Linked DNA regions of Drosophila melanogaster. The protein of the gene in region 2 binds, or shares a complex with, the protein of the main gene of each other region. Each region holds a gene or a part of one and is shown on either strand. Other genes may lie near its edges. The genes, in order: dgt2 and dgt4.

Region 1 (3,453 bases), on a different chromosome or scaffold from region 2:
CCACCGAAATTGTTTAAGATATTAAAACTGAATGTAATTATTAAATTATCACGCAATGTAGTACTTCGGAACTTTTTATTTGTTAAAAGGACCTTTTTATTTAGAATTCGTTTTGTTAAAATTACCTTTTTGAATGACTAAACTTACACCGCCTACTCTTCTTCTTATTTTTTGTTTTGCCATTCACCACGAACTTAATAACAACTTAACACGCGGAGATCTCCACATAAACAATGGAAATTAAAGTACGTAAACAAATTATTTGCGACCTAAAACTTATTTCATTTTGATCCCCGTAGAAGTCCAAGAAATCAAAGAACGACAAGAAGTCCAAGGCGCCCAAGGAGTCGTCCGTTTCGCTCAAACTGAACGCTTTGCATCGCAAGCAAAAGGAAGTCGCCCGCGTGCTCACTTTAAAACAAGAAATATTACTGAAATCGGGTGTATCCTATCTGGAATATTATGAGATTCTGGCAGAAATCGAACGACTCAACGGCCTAAAGGAGTCATTTATGCGCCGCGCTGATAAGCTGAAGCAACAGGACAAATAGTTGATAAGTTGGTTTGGTTTAGAAACTATATAAGAGTAAAGAAATCTGTAGCAGTTATATTTCGGAATGTTTTGTACATACATACATGTAATCTTTTTTGTAATTAACTTTTATTTACTTAAAAGCTTTCAATAACATGATGAATAAAGTAGAAAGTTATATATATAGTCAAAGCTGATCATAACTAAATGCACGTTGAAAATTAGTCAACTCAATCGAAGTGATAAAGATTTCATACGGATTATACTGTTAGGTATACATTTTGATTACTTTTGTTTTGCTTAATTAATTTGGCACTCCTTTGTGTGTGAAGATCAAGCTGCCTTAAAAAGTTTTAGTTTAATTGAAGGCACTTAGAAAATAAGAACTATAATTATTTGGCATACTGAGGAACTGTTTGGTAGTCATACATTAAATCAATTGATTTCTACTTGAGCTGGATTTGGCTCCCCTCGGTCTTCGCAAAAGCCCGCCACATTCGTTGGAATTCCGCCTGAAACGTGGCTGTGAGTTTGTCGTCAGCTGTGATAATGCAGTTCTCCCAATTGCCTCCCAGTCCAAGAGCCGTCCAGTTTACGGAGCCGCTGATCACGATGCTATAGCACGGACGCATAAACTTGAGCTTCCTCAGCAGACGAATCTCCTCGACGCGCTCGAAGCCGTCGATTATGCAGAATTTGTTGTGCATCAAGTTCGTGGTAATGGGGACGCGAACTGGAACTCCCAATTGTGCCAGCATACTGATCTGAGAACCTTTGGAGTAGACCATCTCCCCGTCGCTGATGATCCGGATAATCACGCCGCGCTGCAGGGCCCGCTTTATTGAATCCGCCAAAAAAAGCGAGGTGAAGGTGTATATGGCCAGGTCAATGGAGTATACAGCCCGATCGATCTGCTCTACGATCTTGGCCACATTCCGCAGCGAACAATGCGTGTTGCAGCAGGGCGACACTTGTGGTTTCTGGGATCCCATGCTGCTGTTGCGCATATGCACCGCCGCACAGATCTCGCCCAGTTCATTGAAGATGATCACTTCGTGCACGCGGCTTGCCTTCTCTCGCTTGCTGCGCGAGCACTGCACCAGCTTCCAAATCACCTCTGAGGCCAGGACAGTGCTGACGGCAATGCTTATTGTGGACACAATGGGATAGTCTCGAATTTGTTTCATAATTATTTGGGTAATCAACATTTTTGAATTTAGCTCGTTTCTCTAGCGCGCTTTAAATAATAATCTTGGGGTGACCATTATAAAATATAAGTAAAATATATTATCGTTAGTAGCTACCGGTCACACTGTTGCTCAGTAGCGTTGCCGTATCGCAGCCATGCGCTTGCCCATTCGAATCAAACAATCAATTTCGGGTCAATTTAAGCATTTTACCACCTAAATGGATGATCCATCCGCCACGCTCTTGCCCGAACACTCGGAAGATTTGCGGCTGGCTCGCGATGCGGAGCTGAAGAAGGTGCTCAAGCTGAAGCTAGTGCTGGACGAGCTAAGACGCCTGGATGTGGGCCCAAATCCGAGTGATGAAATCAAAAGAGCCCTCAAATTGGTTTCCATTGGAAGTTATGCGCGACTCGGCGAGATGGAGGGAGCTGGTCAGGAGCAGGTGCTTGGTAGGCGCGTTACAAGTTTATTCCAAAAGCAGTGAATAACCATTGGAAATCTAACAGGTCTACCGAGCGGCAGCAGTTTTCCGCCCTTGAATTACACGGATCGCAAGACGGTGCGTACCAAATTGTCCGCTCAATTACGCACAACTCTGCAACCCATTGCCGAATTGTGCGACAGGATACGCGAGGAGTTCCCGGACGCCTTTGGCCAGGAGGCGGACTTAAGCTGCGACCAAAAGGAGATTCTGCGCCTGGAGGAGGAGCATCGCAGCGGTCTGGAGAAATTGGTTGCGCTTCTCACTCGTAAGTGCACGCTTCTCAAGGAGACCGCCGAATTGAAATTGGGGCCGCAGTTGGCAAACGAACTAAAATTGCAACAGGCGCAGGCGCAACTTGTTCAAACAAAAGCAGAACTACTGCGCGGATTTTTCGTCCACGAGGCCGCCTCTCGCACCGAACATAGCGTCAAGGCACATAAGGAGGTGGAGGCGCACCTGGACGAGCTGCTCGCCGCCAAGAAGTAGATTTAAGCAAACTAGTATTATGTAAATTAGATTTTTAAATACATTATAATTGTGATTTAAACAGGGTTGTTCGTTTAGGTCTTTTCGCTCTAGAATGGCAACACTGTTTTGCACTGCAGTATTTGCAGACGGTCACTCTAGGGATAAACAATTTGTAAACAAAAGAAGCTTTTAAGTTTGCCGGAATAAAACAGATATGACCGAAACGAATCCCAGTGAAATATCTCCTCCGAGCGAAGAGCCACCGGCAGAGGACGAATCCACTGACCACTCTCCAGCGGAGGCAGTGCTGAGCAATAATTCCTCGAGTGTCTGCAATGTTGTGGAGCCGGATGATGAGCACGAAGTTAATTCCGTGGATCGGGAGGACACCGCCAGTTTGTTCAGCACTACTACGACCACCACCAGAAGCAAATCGCCAAATACACGAAAATTGAACCGCCTGTGTCGGCGGATCAAGGCACCCAAAATGGTTCAGCCCTTGTACAAATATAGGTGTGATTTTTCCAGGCAGAACATAAGTCATAATGTTTATATCCCGGATGCATTGCAGCTCCCATGTCCGCGAGGACCACAACCATCAGATCTTCGGAGTGCAGTTCAATCCGTTCCTGGACAGAGGCCAGCCGCAGGTGTTCGCCACCGTTGGCAAGGATCGGGTTTCCATTTATGAGTGCGAGAGGAGCACCGGACAGGAGTCCTGCGAAGGCATTCGACTGCTGCAAGTCTACGCAGACCCAGATGTAAGTACTCATCATATG
Region 2 (3,937 bases):
CACAAGACACTCTACTATGATACCGATCCGTTTCTCTTCTACGTAATGACAGAGTTCGACTCGCGCGGCTTCCACATAGTAGGGTACTTCTCCAAGGAGAAGGAGAGCACAGAGGACTACAACGTGGCCTGCATTCTCACAATGCCTCCGTATCAGCGCAAGGGCTACGGCAAGCTGCTCATTGAGTTCAGCTACGAGTTGTCCAAGTTCGAGGGCAAGACGGGATCGCCGGAGAAACCATTGTCTGATCTGGGTTTGCTGTCCTATCGATCGTACTGGGCGCAAACCATACTGGAGATCTTTATCAGCCAAAACCCGAGCACGGACGGCGAAAAGCCCACTATAACTATAAAGTATGGCTAGTTCTAAGCTTAAAGTAATACAATTTTCAATCCACAGAGATTGTGCTTCATTGCCGAAACATAGATTAATCATGCTCCCAAAATTTTTCTTCACAGCGACATCTGCGAATGCACATCCATCAAAAAAGAGGACGTGATCTCAACGCTGCAGAACCTGAACCTGATCAACTACTACAAGGGCCAGTACATCGTGTGCATCAACCGGGTTATCATCGAGCAACACCGGCGAGCAATGGACAAGCGCAAGATCCGCATCGACTCGAAATGCCTGCACTGGACACCCAAAGACTGGTCCAAGCGCTCCAAATGGTAATCTCCTCATCTTCTCCGTATAAATAACTGAGTTTAAACAGCTTTGAATCCGTTTTTTTTTGTTTTTAGATTTCCGCTACCAATATTCTTCATCGGATGATCCTGGCTTCGTTGTAGCTTGTAGTTTTCATTTACAGTTTCCGTTTTTAATGTTATAAACTAGTTTATATCATACAATATTATATATACTTTTGAGACGACCGGCTAGTTGTTTGTTTCCCGCGGTGGGAGAAGATCCTCCACAAGGCGGTCCATTGCCTGTATCATGCCCATCTCCATACCATTCTCCAATCCATCGACGGCGGTACGCAAACTTCTTAGAGCTTCTTGGTTCTGGGCGAACTCCCGTTGTTGCCGGCATAGATTTAGGCGCGGTTTGTGGGTGGTGTTCAGATGTTCCAGGCACTGCTTCACATCGTTGGAGTCCAGAATGGCGGGACGCAGATCACTGCCCAGTTTGGATCGCAAACTAGCGATATCCTTGGCCGCCTGGTCGACTTGATTCACATCAGATACACGATGGGCATCCACGGCCGCCTGCAGGGCTCCGCACTTCAGGAGCCTCGCCAGCCGCCCAAAGTCCCGCTGATACTCACACTTGGCGTCCAGCCAAATGCGTACTTGCTCCTCCACCTGGCGCTTTACATTGCGGCTGTCTTCCTGAAAACGGCGCATCGCCTCCAGGTGCAGCAGGTATTGGATGTCGTCCATGGTGCCCTCAGTTGTCAATGATGGCGGTGTGGTCGTGGTGGGAGTGGGTGGAGTTTCCATAGTGGCTTACAAAAACTTCTTAGTTTTTAAAGTGGGAAATTCGGATTCGATTGCCGACGCTATCGCTTTCGCAGCTGCTATCGGTAGCATTTGAAGTCGGCTAACGGAGATTTTTGTAACGATAGGCGCGTAGCTATGTTCGAGTCAAATTTGGCTATTAATAACTATATAAAAAAAAAATGAAAATAATTCGAAAATGTAAATAACAACAAGATATGTAGGTTTCCTTACATAAACTAACAGGTTTTTAAAGTTTCTAGAAAACTGAAATAAGTTGTTTGATTTTGCTTACCGATAGTTGGGAAACCAGCTCTTATTGATTTTGGGGCTAAAAATGTAAGCCATGCAAATGAAGTTAACGTTTAAAAACAAGTCAATTCCTTGCAGCACGGAAACCAAGTACTGTAAAAAGTAATTCCCTTTCAATTCAATTTCACTTCTTTAGCAGCATATTTCACCTTCCCTTCCAAGCACCAAATGTCCGGCGACTCTCGCGCGACAGCGTTGCCAGTTAGGCGACGAACACGTTTTAACTATTCGTTTCGTTTAGAAAACACACAACGCTTGCCTAATTTTTTTTAAACATATTCAGTGGACTGATAACTTGGTATTGATATTGACAAATGGGTCGAAACCAGAAGCAAAATTTTTTCGCGGCTCGCAAACGTCAAAAGCGGGAGAATGTGAGTCACCTCAATTTGAAAGGAGAAACATTCCACGTTTTTGGATTTTATTCTTAAATATATTTTTTATCTTAAAGGGTCCCAAGCGCACCGATCGTCAGGCCCAGCCGTATGAGGAGATCAAAAGGGATAATGCCTTCTTCATCAAGTACTACCAACTGCAGAAGATCTGCGCCACCGATGAGGAGTGGACGCAGTTCCTTGCTTCCATCAGGGACAATCTGCCCACTACTTTCCGTGTGACAGGATTCAAGGACGAGGCCAAAGCCCTGCTATCCATTATTGAGACGCAGCTATTCACCGAGTATGTGAGGGCGGTGGCCGAGCTGCACCAGAAGGCGCCCGAGGATGTGGAACGTCCGCTGTGCCTGCCGTGGTATCCAAACGGACTGGCCTACCAGCTGCACCTTACCCGCAAGGACATTCGACGCTCGGAGCCGCTCTACCGGCTGCACAACTTCCTAATTGTGGAGACCACGGCGGGCGGCATCAGCAGGCAGGAGGCCGTATCCATGATCCCGCCAATTGTCCTGGATGTCCGACCCACGGACAAAGTTTTGGACATGTGTGCTGCGCCAGGTTCGAAGACAGCCCAGCTCATTGAGGCTCTGCACGCTGCTCCCGAGGAGCACAAGATTCCGCCCGGCTTTGTGCTGGCCAACGATGTAGACAACAATCGGTGCTACATGCTGGTTCACCAAGCCAAGCGTCTAAACTCGCCCTGCCTGTTGGTGACCAACCACGACAGCAGTGTCTTTCCCAATCTCGTGACCACGAAGCCGGACGGCTCAAAGGCGATCCTTAAGTTCGATAAGATCTTGTGCGATGTACCTTGCTCCGGCGACGGCACACTGCGCAAGAATCCAGACATTTGGCTGAAGTGGAACCTGGCACAGGCCTACAACCTCCACGGCATTCAATACCGCATCGTACGTCGTGGCGCTGAGATGCTGGAGGTTGGCGGAAGGCTGGTGTACTCCACCTGCTCACTGAATCCCATCGAGAACGAGGCGGTGCTGCAGCGGATCATAAAGGATGCCGACGGTGCATTGGAGCTGGTGGATGCGGGGCACTTGGTGCCAGGTCTTAAGTACAAGCCCGGCATGACCGACTGGAAGCTGGCCACCAAGGAGGTGGACCAGATCTTTACCCGCTTTGAGGAAGTGCCTGAAAGCCTGCACACTATAATACGGCCCGGTATGTTCCCTCTGCCGGCCGACGAGATGGCCAAGATCGGGTTGGAGAAGTGCCTCCGCGTATTGCCGCATCTCCAGGACAGCGGCGGCTTCTTTGTAGCCGTGTTGGAGAAGCGTCGTCAGCTAAGCTTCGAAAAGAACGATGTGGTGGAGCTGGTAAAGCTGAACGAGACGGCCAAGCAGCCTGCAGCTGAGCCGCAAGTGGACGCGGATGGCAAGCCCATCGAGGAGAAGTCCGTTCCGTGGGGACCGCAGCGAAAGAAGCGACGTCTGCATGGCTACAAGGAAGATCCTTATGTCTTCTTCGGCGAGAATGATCCTGACTACCAGGCGATCAAGGAGTTCTACCAGCTGGACGAATCCCTTAGTCAACGATGTCTCTTAACTCGCTGTGTCACGGAGAAAAAGAAGAACATCTATTACTGCTCTGAACCCATCCGCGATTTGGTGCTTAACAACGAAAACAACATTAAGATCATCAACACGGGCGTTAAGACATTCGTGCGCTGCGAGAACCGGCATACGGTGCATCCCTTCCGATTGGCCCAGGAGGGCCTCCAGACCTCCAATGCCTTCATGGGCGCCAGCAGGAGAATCCAGGTGGAGCGGGAGG

What was found.
Region 1: dgt4 (region 2) and dgt2 share a complex: the UniProt entries of both Drosophila melanogaster proteins name them as parts of the augmin complex.

What each region holds. Positions count from the first base shown.
Region 1 is NT_033779.5:11,988,085-11,991,537, forward strand, and holds dgt2 (dim gamma-tubulin 2), read left to right. Parts: upstream 1-1,851; 5' UTR 1,852-1,939; coding exon 1,940-2,171; intron 2,172-2,228; coding exon 2,229-2,692; 3' UTR 2,693-2,888; downstream 2,889-3,453. Other genes in the region: CG34163 (uncharacterized protein), read left to right, coding at 234-245, 300-551; zuc (zucchini), read right to left, coding at 979-1,740; escl, read left to right, coding at 2,889-3,187, 3,246-3,435. UniProt on the Drosophila melanogaster protein: As part of the augmin complex, plays a role in centrosome-independent generation of spindle microtubules.
Region 2 is NC_004354.4:4,111,736-4,115,672, reverse strand, and holds dgt4 (dim gamma-tubulin 4), read right to left. Parts: upstream 1,973-3,937; 5' UTR 1,738-1,972; intron 1,610-1,737; 5' UTR 1,446-1,609; coding exon 879-1,445; 3' UTR 745-878; downstream 1-744. Other genes in the region: Tip60 (Tat interactive protein 60kDa), read left to right, coding at 1-353, 459-671, 744-744; Nsun2 (NOP2-Sun domain family, member 2), read left to right, coding at 2,069-2,128, 2,206-3,937. UniProt on the Drosophila melanogaster protein: As part of the augmin complex, plays a role in centrosome-independent generation of spindle microtubules. The complex is required for mitotic spindle assembly through its involvement in localizing gamma-tubulin to spindle microtubules.